Linked DNA regions of Lonchura striata. The protein of the gene in region 2 purifies or fractionates together with the protein of the main gene of each other region. This does not show direct contact. Links are inferred from orthologs where the notes say so. Each region holds a gene or a part of one and is shown on either strand. Other genes may lie near its edges. The genes, in order: KCTD10, USP25 and BTBD9.

Evidence for each region.
Region 1: the proteins of USP25 (region 2) and KCTD10 purify together in Homo sapiens (affinity purification with mass spectrometry; 4 studies listed by BioGRID and IntAct, counting the BioPlex papers as one, with this or other methods). This does not show direct contact. The link is inferred for Lonchura striata from reciprocal best matches to the Homo sapiens genes USP25 and KCTD10.
Region 3: the proteins of USP25 (region 2) and BTBD9 purify together in Homo sapiens (affinity purification with mass spectrometry; 3 studies listed by BioGRID and IntAct, counting the BioPlex papers as one, with this or other methods). This does not show direct contact. The link is inferred for Lonchura striata from reciprocal best matches to the Homo sapiens genes USP25 and BTBD9.

What each region holds. Positions count from the first base shown.
Region 1 is NC_134620.1:11,168,110-11,175,528, forward strand, and holds the start of KCTD10 (BTB/POZ domain-containing adapter for CUL3-mediated RhoA degradation protein 3), read left to right. Parts: upstream 1-4,405; 5' UTR 4,406-4,460; coding exon 4,461-4,463; intron 4,464-6,180; coding exon 6,181-6,394; intron 6,395-7,419. Other genes in the region: UBE3B (ubiquitin-protein ligase E3B), read right to left, coding at 331-416, 1,050-1,146, 1,237-1,341, 1,667-1,726, 2,514-2,634, 2,953-3,113. UniProt on the Homo sapiens protein: Substrate-specific adapter of a BCR (BTB-CUL3-RBX1) E3 ubiquitin-protein ligase complex. The BCR(BACURD3) E3 ubiquitin ligase complex mediates the ubiquitination of target proteins, leading to their degradation by the proteasome.
Region 2 is NC_134604.1:8,527,706-8,534,822, forward strand, and holds the start of USP25 (ubiquitin carboxyl-terminal hydrolase 25), read right to left. Parts: upstream 3,077-7,117; 5' UTR 3,015-3,076; coding exon 2,970-3,014; intron 1-2,969. UniProt on the Homo sapiens protein: Deubiquitinating enzyme that hydrolyzes ubiquitin moieties conjugated to substrates and thus, functions in various biological processes including inflammation and immune response.
Region 3 is NC_134605.1:29,139,049-29,146,416, forward strand, and holds the start of BTBD9 (BTB/POZ domain-containing protein 9), read left to right. Parts: upstream 1-4,265; 5' UTR 4,266-4,377; intron 4,378-6,261; 5' UTR 6,262-6,346; coding exon 6,347-6,428; intron 6,429-7,368. Other genes in the region: GLO1 (lactoylglutathione lyase), read left to right, coding at 1,814-1,902.

The DNA.
Region 1 (7,419 bases), on a different chromosome or scaffold from region 2:
AGCAGCAAACAAACCCAACCAATATAATGTGGCAGGTGCAAAGTTTGTCAAAATTATGTAGGACTTGTCCTTGTCCATCTCATGATGGGGTGATTAAGCAGGATTTAGGTTCAGCAGCAGTGACAGAAGGGGAAGGGTGGATTTGGTCTCACTCTACTTGAGAAACTTGAGAAATTTTTGCTTTGCTTGAGAAAAATATAATAATGTACAAATCACTGGCAGCTCATCCCTGAGACCCTAACACAGACCCAAAATGCTCCTCAGGAGAGGGGGACAGGCAGGGCTGGGGCTGGTTGGGGTGAAGTTGGGACTGTGGCAGCTCAGACTGACCTGCAGCACGGAGTAGAAGCCCTTCTGGTTCAGGTGGCCCATGATGTTGGCACAGATGTGGTTCATGGCAGGTCTCAGGGTCTCACCTTTGGGTTAAAGCACTCGTGTCACTCCCACAGCACCACAGCCCCACTCTGGCTCCCCCACACAAAGGTTTGTCACTGCCCAAAGTCCTTGTCCTTCTACACAAACCCATCATTCTGTCAGCATTTTACACTGTATTGTTTAGGCTCTAAGAGTCTCATTTCCTCTCACTACTTATCTGCCTTTCCTACATCTATTTCCTACAAAAGTTAAGAGCACATTCCCTTACCCCCTGAACACTTACTGTGTGAGGGTTTCTGGAATATTATAAAAATGCTGTAACAACTGTTGGTGTCCTAAGGGAAACAGTCTAATCCCAAGGGGAAGAGTCTAATCCCAAGGGAATCCTTAATCTGGGCAAACACAGGAGCAGAATGAATCTTTGTGGCAACCAAGGTGCAGAAACAGAATCCCAGAAGGGTTTGGGTTGGAAAGAATGTTAAGGATCATCCCATCCCAAACCCCTGCAAAGAGCAGGTACACCCCCCACTATGCCAGGTTGCTCCAAACCCTCTCCAACCTGGCCTTGGACATTTCCAGGGATGGAGCAGCCACAGCTTCTCTGGAACTTGTGGCAGAGCATTCAGTAAATTTTAACACCAAGTCCCAAATCAGTGAGATTTGGATGCACCAACCTTTTCCCCGGAGGATCTTCCAGGTGGAAGTGTCTGTGAAGGTGACCAGCATTGTGAGGTGCAAGTTCACCAGTCTGGAGTCCTGCAGGATGTCAGGCTGGGATAACAAACAGCAGAGTTAACAAATCCACTGAGCCTTGTGCCCCCTGCCAAATGCAGGGAGAGAAAACACAGGAATAGTCCTCACCTTGAGCTGCTTGAGGAATTCACAGCAAAACCACAGGATGTCTTTGATCTGTTTGATCCAGAGGAGGGTGAGGTCCTTGGAGAGTGCCAGTGACACGTACCACACCTGAGCAAGGGGGGATGCACAGAGGGATCAGGGCTTGTGCTACTGCTGGGCAGTTTGGGAACTGAACCCAGCAGTGGGACCAAGATGCTCCTCTCCCCAAATTCTCACATCACCCACGCCAGAAACCAAGTGTCCTTTAACTCCCGTGGCTGCACAGAGTAAAAATATCCCAGGAATACTAAAGGACTTTCCACAGTGGAATTTCCACAGTGCTCAAGGGTTTCTGAAATCTAAAAATTACGTATTAGCAAAGTAAATCCCCACACAGAGAGTTAAAAATGACCACCAAGCCCTCCCCACTCCAAAGCAAACCCCCCCTGCTGACCTTGGGCTCGTTCTCCACATCCATGCTGTTCAGGATACAACGGCACAGCTTCTCAAACCTCTGGGAAAATCCAAAGGTGGGATTAGTTCTAACTACAGGAAGGGCTGTTCTGGAAAAGCACAAGAACAGCTCAGCAAAGGGAGGAAGATCTCTCTGTCTCAAATTAGCAAATGTTCCCAGCACATTCCCTACAAGAATCCTCATGGCTCCTTCCCTGGGAGCACACACATCCTGCTGCTGCTGTGCAGAATTCCTTCCTTGGGAACACAGGGGTTTTTTTTTGGGTGCTGTACCAACAGAAAACTGCATCTGAGCACAGATTTCCATGGGACAGAGATTAACAAAATCCCTCACTGCTGCTGCTATTGAAACACAGCTTTCCATTTTGCAGCTGGTTTCCTTCCAGTCAGCCCTCACAGCTTCCTGGGATCATCATTTCAGGGCTTCACTCTGAACCCACAAGTTCAGGGAATGGTGAGAAAAGCTGCTGGGGTACAAACAGCCTTCCCTGTGCCAGCATAGATCTCTGGCAGCTGTCCCAATGTACCTGCCTGGGGAACTGGGGTGTGCCAAAATCCTCAGGCACTGCTCAGCTCCTGCAGCTAGCACAGTCACCAGAAAAAACATCCATTAAAGGATGTCCCAAATACAAAACCACTGCTGAAAAATTCAAGGTTTCTCCCATCTCAATCCTACAGGCATATCCCTTCAGGAAGGGCCAGAAGCCAGAGAGAAACTTGCTGAAGGCAGAATATATTGCAAGAACCTCCAAGATCACTGAGTAAAGAATTAAACATATTTAACCTGTCCCCAAAAGCACAGCAGGATGTGAGGGCAGTGTCCTCACCTCCTTGTCCTCCTTGGGATTGAACACAAACAGCAGCTTCCTGGCAATCCTGAACACAGACAGGGCACTTCTTTTACTTGAGCCACATTCATTTGTCCCAAAGAAATCCTCCACCTCTCTCCTAGCAAAGAGGGAAAAACGAGGAGTTAAAAAGCAATCACAGAGCAAAGAATTCATTCCCTGAAGAGCCCCACATGGAAGATGGAGAGAGACTTTTTACAAAGGAAAAAGGGGAATGGACTCAAACTGACACAGGACAGGGTTAGATGGGATACTGGGAAGAAATCCTTCCCTGTGAGGATGGAAGAAGCTGTTGCTGCCTCATCCCTGGAAATGCCCAAGGCCAGGTTGGCGAAAAGTGGTGAGGGTTTTGAAATGAGATGAGCTTTAAAGTCCCTTCCAAGCCAAGCCATTGCATGATCCCATGAGTCCCACACACCTGATCTCCCTCTGCAGGTGGCATCGACACAGAAACCTCCTGACCAGAGCCTGGAGCTGCACTGCAGCTCTCTCCCTCTCCTTCAGCTCCCGCCGCTCCTCCCGCGCCTGCCGGGCCTTGTCCAGGAACTGGGCCCTGGAGGACTGGCTGGCACTGAACATGGCTGGAGCCTCAGGGAGCAAAGGATCCTCACAGCAAACAGCCTGGAAAACCAGAGCAGAGTGGAAAAAACACTCATAGAAGGGCAGTTCTTGGCTCCATGCAGAGGAGGGGAGAATCCGACAGCGGAGGGAAAGTGGGCTAAAAAAAAAAAAGAAAAAAAAACCCCAGTGACTGTCACGGGGCTGCAGCAGGGACACAAAAACACTGGCAGGGAATCCTTCCAGCACAGCCCACAGCCTGCTGCTGGCTGGGAGATTTTAAGTGGAAAAATAAACAAATCAGTGGTGTTGACACTGTGCTCCACCTCCCCTCTCCAGCATCTGCTCCTTCCTTGGTAACAGATAAGAACAACTCCCAGGCAGGGGCAGGAGGCAAAGGGCACAAGGGACAGCGATTTACTGCCTTTCAGCAGATAAAACACCCAGAGCTTTATAAATAGCAACAAAGCACTCACCTGAGGGGTCACTTATTCAAGGGAAGCGTGTGATGCTCATTTACACGCACACATCGAGAGACTTCGGGCAGCTCCTGCATGGACAAGCACATTCCCTGCGGCTGATTTGGGGACTTAAGACTTTCCCTCCGCAGTTCCGAGTCCTTCGGAGCCCATTTACCTCTGGCTGCAGCCGCAAGGAAAACGGTAAGTGGGAGGAGAAGCAGCACCACAGGCAGCTGAGGGGGGTGCGGAGCAGGGACAACCCCGTGTGTGACAGCACGAGAAGGACAAAGCCACCCAGGTGCCACCCCCGGGCAGCCACCCACAGAGGTGCGCTGCGGCTCGCAGGAGTCGCCCACAGCAGCCACAGAGCCCCCTCAGCCCCTCCGGCAGCCGCGCATCCCTCCCGTTCCCACCGCAGCCTCCCCGGGCCCGCACTGCGCTCACCCCGCCGCGCCTCCCCCCGCAGCCCCCCGGCGCTCACCCTCGTCCCGGCGGGCACCGGGCCGGGCCTCACAACCCCGGAACCCCCCGGGAACCCCCCGGGAACCCCCCGGGAACCCCCCGGTCCCTCCCGGCTCCGCCGCCAGGCCGCGGCCGCAGCCCCCTCCTCGCACCGTGTCCGCGCTGCCCGTCCGGCCGCCAACCCGCCCCGCCGCTGCCGTTCCGCCGGGCCGCTCACCGGCCGGGCGCAGGGGGAACGGCCCGCCCTGCGTCCCGCTGGTACCGGGGAGGCCGGGCCGGGCCGGGCCGAGCCGGGCCGAGCCCGTGAGGCGGCGGCGGCGCGGCGCGGGCCCGCCGGGCCATCGGACGGGTTTGGGGGCGCACCGGGCGGCGCCGGAAGGCGGGAGCGGCGGAAGTTCCGCGCCCGGCGCTGCCGCTCGCTCGCTCCGCGGGGCTCGGCCCGTTCATGGTGAGGGGAGAAGGCGGCTCGGGGCCGCGAGGGCGGGGAGGCGCTCTGGTGCTCGCGGGGGAGGAGGGGATGGAGGGGCGGATGGGGGACGGCGGGTGTGAGGGGGTGCGGGCCTCAGCACGGGGGAGGTGATGGGGGTCCCCTCGGTGGGGCGGGGGGCTTTGGGGCATGGGAAGGGGGCTGAGAGAGGCCGGGGGTTGCGGGTTGCCGTCCTGCCCGCTGCCCTGGGAGGGGTCGGGCTGAGGGTTTTGGGGGTCCGGCCGCCGAGAGCGGTGCGGGTGTTGAGGAGCGGCAGTGCCCAGGGGCGGCATGGAGAGAGGGGTCCCGGGGGGAGTCTGAGCCCCGGTCCGGTGTGGGGAGGGCAGCGCTGCGATTCGGGGTCATGATGGGATCGATCCCCCTCTGGAACCCCGCGCCCGTTCCTGCCCCAGCTCGGTACCGGAGGGAGCGGGAACGTGAGCTGAGATTGCTGCCTGTGCATCCCGGAGATGATGGGATCGTCTCCAGGCCACCCCTGCCGCTCCTGCTCCCTCTCCTGTGCCACACAGCTCCGGCTCCTTGGGGAGTTTCACGGCGGTGAAGCAAAAATCCTTCGGTTCGGCTCATCGCGGAGCCCTGGGAGCTGGAGGAGCAGGGATGGAGGAGGTGAATTATCCCACCTTTCCCATCCTGAGGGAAAACAGCCGCGGAGGCTCCTAGAGATTAAGGATTTAGCGGCTCTGGGGGCATTTGTGGTGCTGAGCCTCCGTGTGCCTGTGCCCGTGTGACCTCGGTGACAGGAATGTGGCTGGAGGTTGCTGTGTCCGGCTGGATTTTGGTGCTCTGAGCAGTGTGGGAGGGCAGGGAAGAGCAGGAAAGCTCATGTGTGCTCTCCGTGTTTGCTCCAAGAGAAAAAGACTTGAAAACCTGTGGATTTTCTGCCTTTTAGCACTTGGGAATCTGTTGATTTCTGCATTTGGACTCACAGGAATCATCTGCTCCACTTGTGTGTGTTGGGAATTGCCCAATTCCATCCCAGATTATTGATGGAGTAAGAGCTTTAAGCTGTGGAGTTGTGTGAGAAATGAAAGCAGTTGTGGGAAAGCTTGGCTTTGCAGTGCAAAACCCGGTTTAGCAATCCTAGGTGGTGGTTTTTTTTTTTTTGTTTGTTTGTTTGTTTTTTTTTTTCCCCTGGGGAAAAAAACAGGGACTGTGCCCACCAATGTCCTTCAGTTCCTGAGAGTGAAACATTGAAAACACTTGAGAACTTCACACAGAGCCACAGGAGGAGCCGAGGTGTGAAACACCCGGTGGGAGCAGGGGTGTCACACTGCCAGGGTGGCAATTGCTCCTTTGAGCTGGGAATTCCTTCCCTGAAGTGGAAAGTCCTTCCTTGAACTGGGAAGTCTTCCTTGAATTGGGAAGTCCTTCCTTGAGCTGGGAATTGCACTCTTGAAGTGGGAGCTGCTCCCTTGAACTGGGAATTGCACTCTTGAACTGGGAATTGCACTCTTGAACTGGGAAGTCCTTCCTTGAACTGGGAAGTCCTTCCTTGAGCTGGGAGTTGCTCCCTTGAGCTGGGAATTCCTTCCTTGAGCTGGGAGCTGCTCCCTTGAGCTGGGAGCTGCACTCTTGAAGTGGGAACTCCTTCCTTGAACTGAGACCTCCTTCCTTGACTGGGAGTTGCACTCTTGAAGTGGGAACTCCTTCCTTGAGCTGGGCATCCCCTTCCTTGCAGGAAGAGATGTCGGGAGAGAGTGTGGTGAGCTCAGCAGTGCCGGCGGCCGCGACGCGCACGACGTCCTTCAAGGGGAGCAGCCCCAGCTCCAAGTACGTGAAGCTGAACGTGGGAGGGGCCCTGTACTACACCACCATGCAGACCCTGACCAAGCAGGACACCATGCTCAAGGCCATGTTCAGCGGGCGCATGGAAGTGCTCACGGACAGCGAAGGTGAGGATCGGGACCTTCCCGGCGCCCTCCGCGTCCTTCCTGGCCAGGGAAAGTCACTGCGGTCGTGGGAAGGTCACAGGACCTTCTGTTTGAAGGGTTGGAAGGATGGAGGAGCTCTCCTACAAGGGAGGGTTGGGATTGTTCAGCCTGGACAAAAGGCAGGTTTGGGGTGACCTAATTGTGGCTTTCCAGTGCCTGAAGGAGCTACAAGAACCACAGAGGGAGGATATTTATAAAGCCCTGGAGTGGCAGGACCAGAGAATAGGTTTGGATGAGATATTGGGAAGGAATCTTTCCCTGTGAGGGTGGGGAGGCCCTGGCACAGGGTGCCCAGAGAAGCTGTGGCTGTCCCTGGATCCCTGGAAATGTCCAGGGCCAGGTTGAATGGGGCTTGGAGCAGCTTGGGATAGTGGAAGGTGTCCCTGCCCATGGCAAGGAGTGGACTAAATAATCTTCAAGATTCCTCCCAACCCAAAAACTGCTGTTGTTCCATGATTCCATGATTGTACAGCTGGGAAAAATGTGGAACAAAAGACAAAGATGATCTGAGTGGTTGCCTGAACAGAAGGACACCAAGAAGTGCCAGAGCTCCTGTCAGGCCCTGGTGACACCTGGAGCATCTTTTCCTTTCAGAATACTGACACTAAAGCTCTGGAGTCCATGGAAAAAGGCGTGGATAGTGATTAGGAATCCTTGAGCTGGGACTTGTGTGTCTTCTTGGAAGCTCAGAATGCCATTCCCTCTTGTCTCCTTGCTTATAAATAAAATATAAAACATACTCTGAACATAGGTATAAACGAGTTAAAAGCTGATTTTTTTTTAAATGAAACAATTATCTCGTGGGACTGTTGACAGCTGATTTCCCTAAAATAGAACCAGTTGCAAAATTTTCAGAAAATTTGGAATTTTATCTCCGCATTCCCACATTGTGGATGTGCCAGAGTTTAATTAGAAGCTCAGCTTTATTTTCACTCTGATGTTTTACCCATAACAATATTTAAAGACCTTTGTCTTTAACAACAGCC
Region 2 (7,117 bases):
TCCTGAGATTACATTGCCAATGCACTGCTGAATCACAGGTCTGAAATAACAGTGGGTGTGGGAAACCAAAGGAGAGATAAAACAGCCTTTAAATCCATGTATCAACCAAATGTCAGGCTCTCTCCAGAAGCAGTAGAACTTGATAACACACATTGCTGAGAGGCCAGCTAAGTGCCACCAATTAAAACCCAGCTTCTTCAATCTGCCATTCCAAGATGACCATCACAGTAATTACCAGAGCTGATACAACGTTGAAACATGCTTAACCTCCCCACATCATAACTTTCAGTTACCAGAAAAATCACCATTCACCCAGCCCCTGAACTCGCTGTGTAGGGGACACTGGCCAAGGGAAGGGTCTGCACAGTACATGGGCAGCCTGGGGAGATCTTCCTCCAGGAGGAAAATTGAGGTTCACAGGCATCAGCCACATAGGGCTGCCTAGATTATGTGAAATCCTGCAACACATGTGCCTTATTTCCTCAGCATCAAAATGCCTGACAAAAAAAAAAAAAAAAAAGGACTGGACCGGACAGAAATGCAGATTGGACAAAACAAGAAGCTACTTTTTTTTTTAACTTTGCATGTTGTTTACCTTTTTCACATGCTTTAATCTTACTGTGAACATTACCTATAACCTTCAGACACCGAACAATGTCATAGAAGCACACAAGGGCCATAAGCAACAAGAATAATTTGATTAATTATTTGCTTCAGGACATAATTTACAAGTTTTAACTAAGGGTCAAAATGACCAGTAGAGATGAAAGAAAAGCTTCTTTTGACCTGACGCAGCTGCTTTAACTACACAATAAACTAAAGATAGCTTCAGTGGGAAGCAGGCTGTTTGTAGTTACAGCATTTATTAATACAAACCTACATCTCCAAGTGCTGCTGAAGTTTGACACACGCTTCCTGTATGACAGTAAGAAAACGTCTGATGAACAATGTTTGCAACCATGGCTCCGAATAAGGTATGCTGATGACTCAGGCATCTCTTGTAAACCCAATATATTTCTGCTTGTATGTGGTTTCTTCACATTAACAGAAAACAATTGTAACAAACTTTGAGGTCTCCAGAACAAACTCCCTTATTTGTGGACATTGGGCTTTTCTTCTTTCAAGGGAAAACAGTAAGTTATTGCTATGGTAGCCTCTCCACCTTTCATCCATCCATCAGCCCACTGGACCTTCACCGTTTGCCTTCTTACATGCAAATACCTGATCAATGTTAAAGTTTGTCATCCAATTACCTAGTCATTAGTCTCGCTAACAATGAGACACTCACTTTGGAGTCAAATAAAGCTTTTTTACAAAGTACTTTTAAGATTTGCCTTTCCCTCATTCCCTAAATGCATGCAATTAGGGATAAAACAGGTTAAAAGCAATTGCAGATAATAAAATAATCAGATAATTCAACAGAAACAATAATAAAAAAACCCTGCCATGAAAAAAACTTGATATTTTATTCAGTTTCTTTAGACACTTTAAAAGGTGACCAACACCCACCAATGCTGATTACAACTTCAGAATTATTGCTAGCTATATTTTTTACTGCAGCATGGATTACTTGGCATATACCACAATCAATCTTCAACCTCCTTTTGGGCTTATCCTCGATTTGAAACTCAAGTGAATCTGAACTACTGACCCGCAAGCAGTAGTTTAGCTGAAAACTAAGTATCCTTCTAGTTTAGTTGAAAACTAACATTACTACTCCAGGATTATTGTCAGAAAGCACAAATAGGCAGCACTGATCAGGGTCCAGAAGGCACTTCGTATCTGACGTGATAATTACGATATATTAAGTAAACCACAAGAGGTTTTGTAAAAGATAAACTTGCTCGCGAAAGTTGTCAGATGCACAGCAGCAACATCAGTTTTCAAACACAGCAGGCGCATGTAGCAGCAAATCTGCTGCGTTAACCTGCCAGCACACCCCAACTGAAAACACTGAGAGAGGAACAAAATCAGACCGTTCAGCCCTTGCCTGCCTTCCTGCTGAAGCCGCCAAAATCACGGCTAACTACTTCCAACTATGAGAGCAGTCCTCGGCCAGACACGCCCTCCCTCCAAACAAGCTTCTTAAATGCGAGCTCTACCACTTTAACCAATTATACCCTAATCAGCACATTCCCACTGTCCACTCTTACGGCTGCAGCCATTTAACTTCCCCACCGACTATACCAAAGCACACATACCTTTATCCTCTTAGGAAGGCAGTACATGCCATTAAAACATTAATAAAAATCAGGAAAGAGGCAACAGCCATACCACTAACCAGAAGAGTTGTGTTAACCTACAAGTTACCTTTAAAACATATTATTTTAAAAGCACTGCAATTTAATTTTAGACATTTGTCTTGACAGTTCAAGGGAAGGAAAGCTTTAGAAGGTATCCTTTTTATTCTTCTTTTGACAGAGAAACATTCTCCATCGAGTCCTGGCGCACAGTAAAAGCCTGATGAGCGCCGTCATTCCCTTAACCCCGTTCCATGATGCACGTTAGCACGAGTCCCTAAACCCGGCACTTTTTCACTCCAGCAGGAGCGCGTCACTCGCTGGAAATAGCGTTCACCTTTGGCAGGCGCGGATGCCGGCGCCGCAGGGTCACGCCGGGCATGTGCAGCATCTCCCCCCGGGCCCGCGGGGGGCTCGGCCGGGACTCGGCGCTCTCGCTGCCCGGCCCCGGTCCCGCCGCTCTGCCCAGCAGCCTGGAGCGCAACAGGCCCGCCCGGGGCCGCGGGCAGGAGCCGGGGCTGCCCGGGGTGACCCGGGGCCGGCCCGGCAGCCGCCCCCGCCGCGGCTCCGCGGCCGCCGGAGCGGCGGGGCCCAGGCGAGGCCGCGGCGCGGGGAAGGCCCGGGAGAAGCCGGGCGCGGGCGCGGGGAGGGACGGCGGGAGCCGGAGCGGGCGCGGCCGGGCCCGGGCGCGGCGGAGCCGCTCCAGGCCGGGCCCCGCCGGGGACTCACCTTGGCGGCGCCGCCGGGCTGCAGCACGTTCTGCTCCACCGTCATGGCCCCCGCGCGGCTCCCGGCGGCGCCCCGGGCTCGGCGGGCGGCGGCGGCGCCGTGCGGCGGCAGCTGGGCCGGGCCCGGGCTGGGCGAGCGGGGCGGGAGGCGGGGCGGAGGGGGAGCCCGAGTCGCCGCCCGGCGCGGGGGGAGCGCGGCCGCGCTCCGGCCCCGCCGCCGCTCCCGGAGCGCCGCCCTCGGCCCGGCTGCGGCTCCCGGCGGCGCCGCCCCGCGCACCTGCCCCGGGCGCGGCCCCCGCCCGGCCCCTTCCCCGCCCTGTCACAGCGCCCGCCTCCATCTTGGCGGCTCCCGCCGGGCCCCGCCGCCCGCTCCTCCCGCGGGAGGGCTCCGCGTCCTTCGCCGGCTGCAGCGGCGGCCCCGGCGACGGCAAAGTTTGCCCCCGCCGCGGGGAAACAGAGCGGCTTACCGGTGCCGCTTTCCAGGGGATCGCCAGGGAATTTATGAGCCAGCGCTGTGGCTGCTCGTGGCCAGGGCAAACCGAATCGCCAAATGAATCACAGACCCAGGATCGCTCGGGTTGAAAGGGAGATCGCCCGCCGCAACCCCCCTGCCAAGGCAGGGTCACCCAGAGCAGGTGGTACAGGAACGTGTCCAAGTGGGTTTGGAATGTCTCCAGAGGAGACTCCACACCTTCCCTGGGCAGCTGCTCCAGTGCTCTGCCGTGCTCAACAGAAAAGAAAAAAAAAAAAAAAAGTTATTCCTGCTGTTGATGTAGAAATTAGAAATTCTTGTGTTTTAGTTTATGGCCATTGCTACTTGCCCTGTTGTTGGGCCCCACCATCCTCTTGGCACCCACTTTGGAGATCTTTGTATGCATTAATACACAGAGGTCCCCTCTGTGTTCTCCAGACTAACCAGGCCCAGCTCTCCTCATAAGAGATGCTCCGGACCCTGATCACCTTCGCAGTCTTTGCTGGACCCTCTCCAGGAGCTCCTTGAGGAGCCCAGAACCAGAAACAGTAATGGTGCATCCTGAAGTTGCAGGTCTTCCCTTTCCCTGAGGTTTGACTGGGTGAGCCGTGGTTTGACTGGATGGCATTCAGCATTCAAATTGTATGGCAATGTCATTAACATATGGGGGGGGGTAGCTGGTCTTGGCAGCCCACAGTGAATTTTGGCACCACAGATAAACAGTATTAGGGAAGAAATTGTCCTTCTGTCACCCTGCTCTGGGGTGTCAAGGAAAGGGCAAGAAAGGATTCTGCTTTGGGCATCAGCACAAGCAGCACAAGACTCAGCTGGACAAAACACGTTTGCCCAGGAGCAGGTGAAGGGCAGCAGAGAAGCCCATCTCACATTTTGAATGCCTGCCCAGTGTATGGTACCAGTGTCCCTGTTCCACTTCCAAGGCTGGTGGAGCTCAGTCTGTAGGAAAAGCTGCAGAGAACAGCACAGTTCTGAGAGCCCCAAGTACCTAAAAAACATGAGCTGGGAGCCTAATGCTACAAAATTAATTGCAGCTATTGCTTGTCTGTCACACACAGCCTTTACAACTCTGTAATCCAGAGCCCTCCTCTCCCCACAGTAGAGTATGGATCTTTTTAAAACTGACATTATCAGGTAATAACATCACTGGAAGATCCTGGACTCTAAGGAAAACACAAGCACAACTCATGACAACTTGCAACCACTGCTTCATTTCATTGTAGATTCTGTGCAGGAGATGTTGCAATGTAATCAATATTTGCACTTCTCAGGTTTGTTGCCCATAGATTGTATCAGTTTTAATGTTTTGGTTTTTTTTTTTTTCCTTTTATGCTGCAACATGAAAGGAAATTTGTAAAATTTGTTTCCAAAGAATTTATTGTGCAAAAGATAAGAAAGTATGCAGATAATATAACGGGCTCAGAAATGGATTGCAAATTACTTTACTGGAGATAGGAAAGGAAAGTCTCTGCTCAGACTGATGGCTATATGTAAGAAAGACAACAGTAGCAGCTTGGGGTTTTTCTTAAAAAAAACTTTTCTGTAGTAGCTGTGAAGGAGTGATAGTCCAATTCCTCCGTCCTCTTCCAATATATAATCATGCTTTTTCTTATACATTTTTACAGCTTCTTCACCGTGTTTTTACATGTGCTATGTTCAGATAACTCCCATCACAACTATTATTTACATTATTTGAACATATTATAAACAAATTAGCATTTAAATAAAATACAGTTGTCTTGCAATATTTTTTTCAAGTGTTTTCACTGTTTTATTTAATAGCTTTCCTGTGTCCAAAAATAAAATGTTTCCAAAAAAGAAAGAAGAAATTGTACATTTTGTTCAATTCTTTTTAAATCAGGATAAAATGACAAAGCATCACCTTCCATTAAATTCCCTTCCCCAATAAAATTCATTTTTAAGGGCTCCAGCTTCCTAACTTTCTTTAATATAAAGGCTGAGCAATCTGATTCCAAAACAGGGATTTGCCATTTAAATACATAATCTGAACCAGAATCATGCAAATGAGGATTCTGTCATACCTACAGTGTTGCTGGGAACCAGAGGGAGCAGAGTTCCCTGTTCTGTTTTGCAGCTCAAGCTCTCTATGAAGTACATTGAGTACAAGCCTGGAATTCATACCTCATCAGTAAACACTAATGATTTTGTCAGGGCCACAGTTTAAGAGGAAAATATATATTTTTTTATATATGTGCATATTTTCACAGAAGTTTGTTAGGTTTCCCCATAGTTTTTCCTCACCTTTTAACAATATTGCAGGGTTTGGCTGCTACCAAACATGGTTTGGTTGTTAAACAGTTTGGTGACATGTTGCACAACCTGTGCCTCCAGCTGCTTGTTCCCCTGAGCAAGGCTCCCCCTCGTCTGCACCTCCTGCTCACCAGCGGTGCTGGAGAAGTGATTCACTTGAAACACAGGCACAAACTCCCCTCCCCACTAAACTGGTTGTTTTCTTCTGCTAGATAAGTTCCCCAAAATGGTTCACTGACTGGCTACAGGAACAGCTGGGCTGGCCCAGAAGAGAGGGTGACCCAGGCTCAGTGATGGTACCCATCAAGTTTCATTTCACCTATTTCTAAAATCAGTAAGTGATTGTGCCTTCCTGATCTGCACACTGCCAGTTGGAGGGAAAGCCTGTGCCTGCTCACAGGAATCCTTGTTTCCCCATTTTTGCAAAGAGCAGCCAAAACATCAGCCAACCACAAAACACTTTAGCACATGTTTTATTGTATACAAAGACCATGTACAACAAGAAATAGCTCATTATTTCCCTCCATTTTCAATAGACTTGGGTTTGTCTTTAATTAAGTGCAACATGCATTTAGGGCTTTAATTAGACTGTGGCTGCATAAGTTACAGCTGGGAAACAAAAGTCAGGACTTCTTGGTTTTCTTTTCCCAGATGTGTAACCTGCTATACTGGGGATGAGAAAGCACTGCTTTAAAAAGCACAGGGAACGCTACAAACACAGGTTCTGTAGTTAACCCTGGACAAGAGCTGCCCAGGATTCACATTTATAAACCCCATCTTGGAGCACTTTCACTTAGGCCTTTTGGCTCTGCAGTAAATAGTTCAGCCAACTGACAAAACCACGGCCATTCAAGCAGCTTTTATAGCATGAAACTTTTGAAATCATCGTTTGGCAATTACTCCCTGTGTCACTGGTAACCATTCAAGCATTGCTTTGGCACCTGCAAAATCTCCTGGTGGTTATCATCCAAGGCAACCAAAACAAAAACTAACAAAATTTGTAACTCAGGAAAAGCCTTCTTAAAAGTCTTCTGAAAGCCTTTTGAAAATCTAAAAGTAAAACTAAAATGAGGTGAGCATAGGTCTTGTTGCTATGCAAAACACAACTTCATATTCCATTGTTTGTTGACCTTAAATTGAAGGTTCCTGACCTTCTAATTTTTTCTTGACAGCAGATGTCTATTCATTCACGTGTCTTCTTAAAGTCAGGTGCTACATTCAAAAATAAAAATTCTCAGATTTAGACTCCTGAGTTCATGTAATTGCAGCTGAATTCCACAGAAATTATGGATTTTACAAGAACCTAGTTAACGTGCCCTTTTTTACCCTAGCTATCTTCACACTTCATTTTACTTTATTATTTTATTTATTTTATTTTATTCTTGACCACC
Region 3 (7,368 bases), on a different chromosome or scaffold from region 2:
GATCTTCCTGGAAAGCTGAGTAATGCGTTGCTAGGAGTTGCCACTGCTTAGAGGTTTCTAAAACCAGTTACCCCTGCACTGCCTTACAGAGTGGGCAAAACTGACAATAGATCCATCCCAGTAACAATAATACATCAGTCTGTGATGTGCCTTCTGTATGCAGCCTAACCTTCAGTAAAATTCACATTCTCTCTTGATGTCATAGTTTACATATCATTTTATACTGCTGCCTAGAGTTGTTACAGAATTTACTGTAACATGGATCAGAGTCACATGGCAAATCTGCTTGGTTCTTGTCTTAGGAAAGTAAGTCAAAACATAATAGTTCCCACTTATTTAAACTGAGTCATTCTTGACTTTTCTGGCTATTTTCATGTAAATCCACCTAACACCTACTGTACAACCTACCAGCTATTATATTTTTAACTGCTCTTTCAGCTTTGGTAGGAGTAGCCCATTAGTCTTTATCATAATTGACTTGCATAATGTATCACACAAATATTCAGAGAGTATATATGCAAAGAATGCATATGTGAAGATATCCCAAAATGCAGAAGTGGTGAGAAGTCTTGCATTTTTCAGCAGGATTCTCTTTCATAGAAAAGACCTCATGAGATTTTTAGGACTGATGCATGCAAAACCAGACATGTAATACTAGTAATTGAAAACAGATTTAAGTGATTTTCATCTTATTCACTGTGTTCTCAGCTGAAGCAAAATAAGAAATGTAGCTGAAAACTTAACTTGATTTCTTGAATTAAGAACAGATCTTGGTATTTCTAGCATTTTAGAGTTTCTGAGCCTTTTTTAATTTGTCTGTTTGTTAAACAGTGAGAGGCTTGAAGTGAGAATTGCTGACTTACAGCTGTGCAGCGGTAGGCATGAAAGTACATAGAAGAACAAGCTTAGACTATAAATGGAGAGAATCACAAGAAAGAACTCCTGAAGCAGAAGAAGGGTGGGGGCAGAGCAAAAGCTCTTCTTTGAAATTCAGAAACAAAATTGATGCAGCAAATGCCAAGGAGGAGAATGAAGTTTTGGGTTTAACATTGTTTGCAGAGCATGGTGGAGATCAAGCATAGGGTTTATTTTCCTGCCTTAATGAATAAACATCTATTTTCTCCGTTGTTTTTGTGACTAGAATATATTAAGAGTTAGGCTGGGTCTGTTACAGTAAATAACTTAATGGAGCAAGTATAACTACAAGTGTGTGGTTAACACTTTAAGCTGTGTTGTCCTGATCTACTGTTGAAAACAACTTTTGGGGAGCTTGTTTTAAGGAATAATATGGTTTCCAGCAGTAAAATCTATAACAATCCTGTCCTGCATTTCTTTGCTTTATGAAGTGGTGCAGAAGTATACTGTAAACCATGTCAGAGGTAAAAATTTTATGGTAAAATTTCATTGTGGAGTTGGGAATGGTGGGAGATGAACAGGGCAGAGGAACACAGGATTTTATACCAGCAAAGCCAGTTCAAGAAAATATATCAAAACATCCCCAGAGCACAGAAATATTTTCCTGAATTTTGAGGATGAACACTTACTGGGGCATATGCAAAAAACTTCAATCAACAAAAGATTGAATTCCAAAGTGACTTTTAACTACAGCTTTATTGAGAGTAGGATTGACGGTTTTGCATACAGAGATCTAATGCCGATTAAAAACTAAGCTGGATGTTTTTAGAATTATCTGTCTAAATTTGAACTAATTCTCATGCAAAACTAAAAATATTTTTGAAAGTAGTCATATTTGACATTTAGAATCAGTCATGTAGTCTTCATTTTATCTTTTTTTTTTTTTTTCCCGTAATAGGTAAAATGAAAGGACTTGCATTTGTTCAGGACCCTGATGGCTACTGGATTGAAATTTTGAATCCTAAACACATGGTGACTCTCACTTAGTTCTAGCAAAGTATATTGTATAAGAGACCCACTTTCAGACTCCTGGAGAAAATCTGTAATAGTGTTTGTGAAAATTGCTTAATAGAGAGGAATCAGTCACGTTCAGAGTCTCCTCCAAAACTATCCCCTGGGACCTAACTTGGATTCCTTTTCTCTTCTCCTGTGATGCCACTGCCAATTGTTTCCAGTTAGGAATACTCAGTCATTTTCTGGAAGAGCACTTACACAGATTCTCCTCTTGAACATTGTTTATGTTAATATTTCAATAAACACTGTCAAAAGATATGTGACCAGAAGCTCACTGCATCTCACACTGATTAGATTTAAATGGGCAACAATTCCTGTGTTACTACTGATGAGCATCAATGAGGAAGCAAAAAGAAATTTCAGTATATTTATGAAGTCAGAAGATCCTGAAGGCTTCATGTCCTAATTTGCATACTAGAAAAATAAAATATCAGGCTAATTTTGACTGGAGTAGTAGCTTGCTTATAAAATTCATAATCTTATTTACATTATTCCAGGCAAAACTCTTTTAAGGAGCAGCCTTAAACTGTCTTGCAAAAAGAAGTTTTATAGAAGGAATAAATTTGTACAGCAGAAAGAATTCAGTCTTTCAGCTCAGCTTTTGACTGCTGATTGACAGCCAAGAGAAGAGGTCTCATAGCTGCCAACTTGCAGTGACCCTTGTCTCTTTCAACACTAGGAAGAACTTGCTCATAATTTTTGTTTCAGGAGAAGTCTGGGGCTAGATTTGACTTAAATTCTTTGTATATTCTGCTCTAGAAAATTAATGAAAAAGATTCTCTGTTTGATTGTCCTCCCAAAACAAGTGGTGGTACATACCTGTGAGCAGCAGGAAAACATGGAGCATTTCCATGTCTTACACAAATTATAAAACCCTCTGCCTTGTCTTATTCTGCTTGGAGTAGCACCTAACGTCTTCAGTTATGTGGCTATCAAATAATGTATAGGGTAACCAAAGGCTAACAAATAGTGTAAAGGCATTGCAGTTCACTTCCCAATAAAACATTGGTGAAAACTACAAGAAACTTTAACGCATGATGAAGTGTTGCTTTGCTTTTTGTTGAATTCTTGATGACTGAAAGGCTTGCTGTTTTGCTTAGAGTATTCTGTTTGGAATCATTGTACTCGGCAATGAAATTTCTAATGATCCTTTCCTGTGGACTCTTCACAGACCTCACTGGTCCACCTCTCATCTGTCTCCCGGACAGTCTTGGGAACCTAATCAATTGCTCGATGGTGGCCAGTGCCAAAGGGAGTTGGTTGCCTAAAAACTGGGTGAGGTGTGACTCCAGCTCCTGCTGCCATGTGCTGGGTCCAGACAGTGGAAGGACCCTGAAAGCCCCCATGTGAGCAGAAAAGCCACACTATGAAAAGCCAGTGTCCACAAAGGAGACAGTCGTCCTGCAAATATATTCAAATAAAGGCAGTGTTCACTGGGGCACACACGTGTTATAAACTCCCAGCCACATGTTGACCTCTTCTTTCCCCATTGGCTGAGGTACTAGGAAGGTACAGCCTTTCTGAACTGCCTACCACATACTTCCTCCTTAACATGTCATTTTCCCCCAAAATGCAGAAACTGGCTTGTGTGTGGACCCATTTGTTTCAGGAGTCAAATTGTCTGGGCTCTTACAAACCTGAGGCTTGAAGTTGGTAGAGACATTAGGAACTATTTCAAAGGCATTAATACCTATACCCTGCCCATGGAATTGTTTGTAAAGACATTAGCACACATCTTTCCTATCATGTAGTCCAGTGGATAACTACATAAGTAGCAGCAGGCTAGGCTAAAGCTTCTCTGCTTAGTAAGCAAAAAAAACCCAAATCCAGAATTACAAGTCTTAACCTGCAACGTTTTTAAAGTATTTTAGACACAGAAAAACTTCTGAAATTGTTTCATGTTCCAACTGATTACAGGCCACTATTTTTGCTTCTTCCAAGGAAGGCTTCTTTTCTTCTAAATAAACCATGGAATTAAATAGCGTGTAGTGCTTTGCCTCCCAAAAGGCATAAATTTAGCTTCATGCAGCGCAACACAAGTCAGTCATGCTTACGTAGCGACAGGCCCACATTCCCCATTCCCGCAGGGAGAAGCTCTCCTGACGCAGGAAAGCAGGACACGCAGCGGAGGGCAGGAGCTACGCACGCCGCTACCAAGGAAACAGGGATTTTGAATGGAGCCAAGGAGCAGCGGACAGGGGTGGCGGGGAAGGTTAAACAGCGGTCGCTATTTCACAGTCCCTGCTGTCCGGCAGCGCCGCTATGTCCCGACTGCCGCGCTCCAGGGGCGGAGCAGGAAAAAGGGCGGCGGCGGCGGCGCTCCCGCGGCGCGGCGGAACCCACTGGCGTCATACGCAGGCCGCTGCTGTCCGGTGACTTCAGCGCGCTGCCGGGTGACGTTGAACGGCGGCGGGGCGGGAAGAGGAGGCCTCGGCGGCGGAGGGGCCGGTGAGTCCCGCGGGCGGGAGGGGCGGGGCGGCCGCGGCCCTGAGGCCGGGCGGGGTCCCGAGGCTGCCTGGGGTCTTGAGGTGCTGCCGTCGGCGGCTGCCGCCGGGCACGGGCAGGGCGACCTGGGGCGGGGCGGGGGAGCGCCGGCGTCCGGGGAAGGCGCCGGGCGCATTTGGCGGGGAAGCGGTTTCACCTGAAGTGCCTCGTTGTGGAGGCGAGGGAGGGGCCGGCCGGGCGGGCTGGGGTCCCTTCCCCTGGCGCTTCCCGCGTTGAGGGCCGGTGGCGGCCCGGGCTGCCCCGGGCGCGACCTTGGGCGCATCGCCCGCGCTGGTCCGCGCCCGCCTCGTCTGCCGCCCCCTCGTTCTGCCTCTGGCTTCGCAAGGCCGTGCTACGGCCATCTAATTAGAATTTTATTTCTTAAGAAAACACAAGTTCAGTATTTTGATGCTTTCGCGGTACTCAATGTTTTCCCTGTTTCACCAATGTTTGGTGTCGTAGTAGTTCAATCACTCTGCAAGTTACGCACTGCTGTGATTCATTGAAATTACTCTTAACTTAGAAGACATATTATCAGACTTTAAAAAAAAAAACAACTTGCTGTTAACTTGTTAGCAATCTTCCGGTGATCTCGCTTGCCAAGCAATGCTTTTTGCTCATGTTTTTAAAGCATAGTAAACAGACCTTCTTAAAGTCCTGTGCTGGAATCGTTTAAGTTATGTGTTTCAGGATTTAATTTGAGCCTGCTCACAGAGCAGGTGTATTTGATGTGTCTTCTGTTACAACTCTAAATCCGGTGCTAGAGCTGTTTTGTTGGGAATTCTACTCAAATTTAGCAAAAAAAAAAAAAAAAAAAAAAAAAACCAAACCAAACAAACAAAAACAAACAAACAAAAAGCAAACAAAAAACCAAAAAAACCACCAACCAAACAAAAAAAACCCAAGATTTTTCATTAATGCCTTTTGAATGTATTTTGATAACACAGGCAAACTTGATAACATGCATTTCTTATAGGAAAGATACTTATGTATTACATTTTGGTCCTCAAAGACCAGAAGACTTTTCTTTGTAAAAAGCCTGGATTTGATTTGCAGGATTAAGGTGTGATTACTTTCTAGTTCATGAGACTACCTAAAAATATTTTTTTCTGCCTTCTCTTCCTTTGTTCTCTTGAACATATCATGAGAGAATTCATAGATCAAGATATCATCCATTTAGCAAATTAAATACAGTTTATTTTTCTTCCTGGAAGGTTAGCAGTAATTTGTAATTGTCGAGAGAAACTCATTATGTTGGTTATGTATTTAAGCAAATCAAGCCTCTATATTTCTCCATTCCTAACCTTACAGTTTTGTTTTGGTTTCCTGTTAAAAAAAAAAAAGGCTTGTGCAATAGACAGGTCTTGCAGCTGCCTTAAGTTTTGTAAAAAAAAAACTACCAAAACCCAAATGAAATCCCCAACACTTTAGTTAGGCAAGAACACTTGGAGAATTTTGTCTGTGTAGGGAATAAAGCATGTGTGATACAGTTTGTATAGACCTAGTTTAATTAGGACACCCATCTGGGAAAATGGTGTTTTCCAGGAGCATTAATGCTGTAGCAGAAATATCAGGTTAGAATTTTTTAGCTTATATGGAATATGGCGATGTGTTACTGTCTTCTCTAATGGTTTAAAATATTAGCAGTCAAAATTAAATTATGATGACTCAGAATAGCAATACTATTCCTATATTCTAATGTTTTTAGAAGTTTTCCTGTTAAATTGAAAGCTTTTTAAAGAATTTATGTCTGCAAGAAGTTGAATTGAGAAATATGCATCTCTCACTTTCATCATAAGGCTTTGTACTCATTATTTCTGATGATGTGTATTTCATGCATTGTTCCAGGAAATGGTCCAGTTGTTGCTGTGCAGCTGGATGTTGCTGAATAACATTTCTATGAGCTTGCTGTTCAATCTGTCTGTTGTTCAGAATGGCAAAGAACCCTAATTTCCCGGAAGCAGGGAATCTGCCTACAGGCTACACGCACTGTAGGTCTTCAGACAGCTTCACTGGTGAGTGGACCCGATGTGTTTTCTTGATATTTTAATGTTTTTGTTGTATGCCATTTTAACCATGTTAATTTTTTATATATATGTTAATAAATAATCTGGACTAAGTATCTTGTTATTTTGTTCTTGTACTTAGCTAAACTTATTCCCACTCTTCTGTGACAGGAAAGCGTCTGAGGAGTGTGTAAAATGTTAGCACTACAGCACTTAAGTGATGGGAATGTGTTTGCAGATGAGCAGGGCATAACTTCCCATATGCTTTGAGTCAAAACATTTTTTGGTACTAAATTGCTGTTTAGAATGCTGTGATTGGATGGTGTGGTTAGTTTCCACTAATGTTACCATCTGCTTTCCTTTTAATCCTTTCACAACAGAAGGGTTGGAGATGGGATTTGAAAGTTCTGTGAATTGCCGTTATTTGAGTTTTCATAGTCTGTATTTATAAAGTTGTATGGGTGGATTGTTGTTGGAACCCTGGCCTGGTTCAGGGGTTCTGGGTGGTGGTAAAGGCTCTCCTCCAACCTGTGCTTCCAAAGAAAAACTCTGCAGCTTCTTGTTGTTCAGTCTCATGGCTGTTTATTGCAAGCTATCTAGAAGATTGTCTTCTCTGGCTACTGCGGTTTGCTCAGCAGCTCAGGCAGAGGCGCACACACCTCTGACACCCTCTCTGTCTGCTGTCTTCTTCTCTCCCTGCCCAGGGCTGCTGCTATCTTTTATATGGTACATTATGTGATACATGTTTACAGTTTTTCCCCAATACCTACTACCCATATTAAATGGTGCTTTTCTACTCTAAACCAATCCGTAAGTGCCAGCCAGCATCACCAAGAACATGGAGGCAAGGAAGAACAGGACCGGCCTACATTCCTCCATCTTAGAACTTCTGACCCCATGTACAAAGTAAAACTCCCCCTGTACAGGTGTTAAAACCCCCCTGTACAAT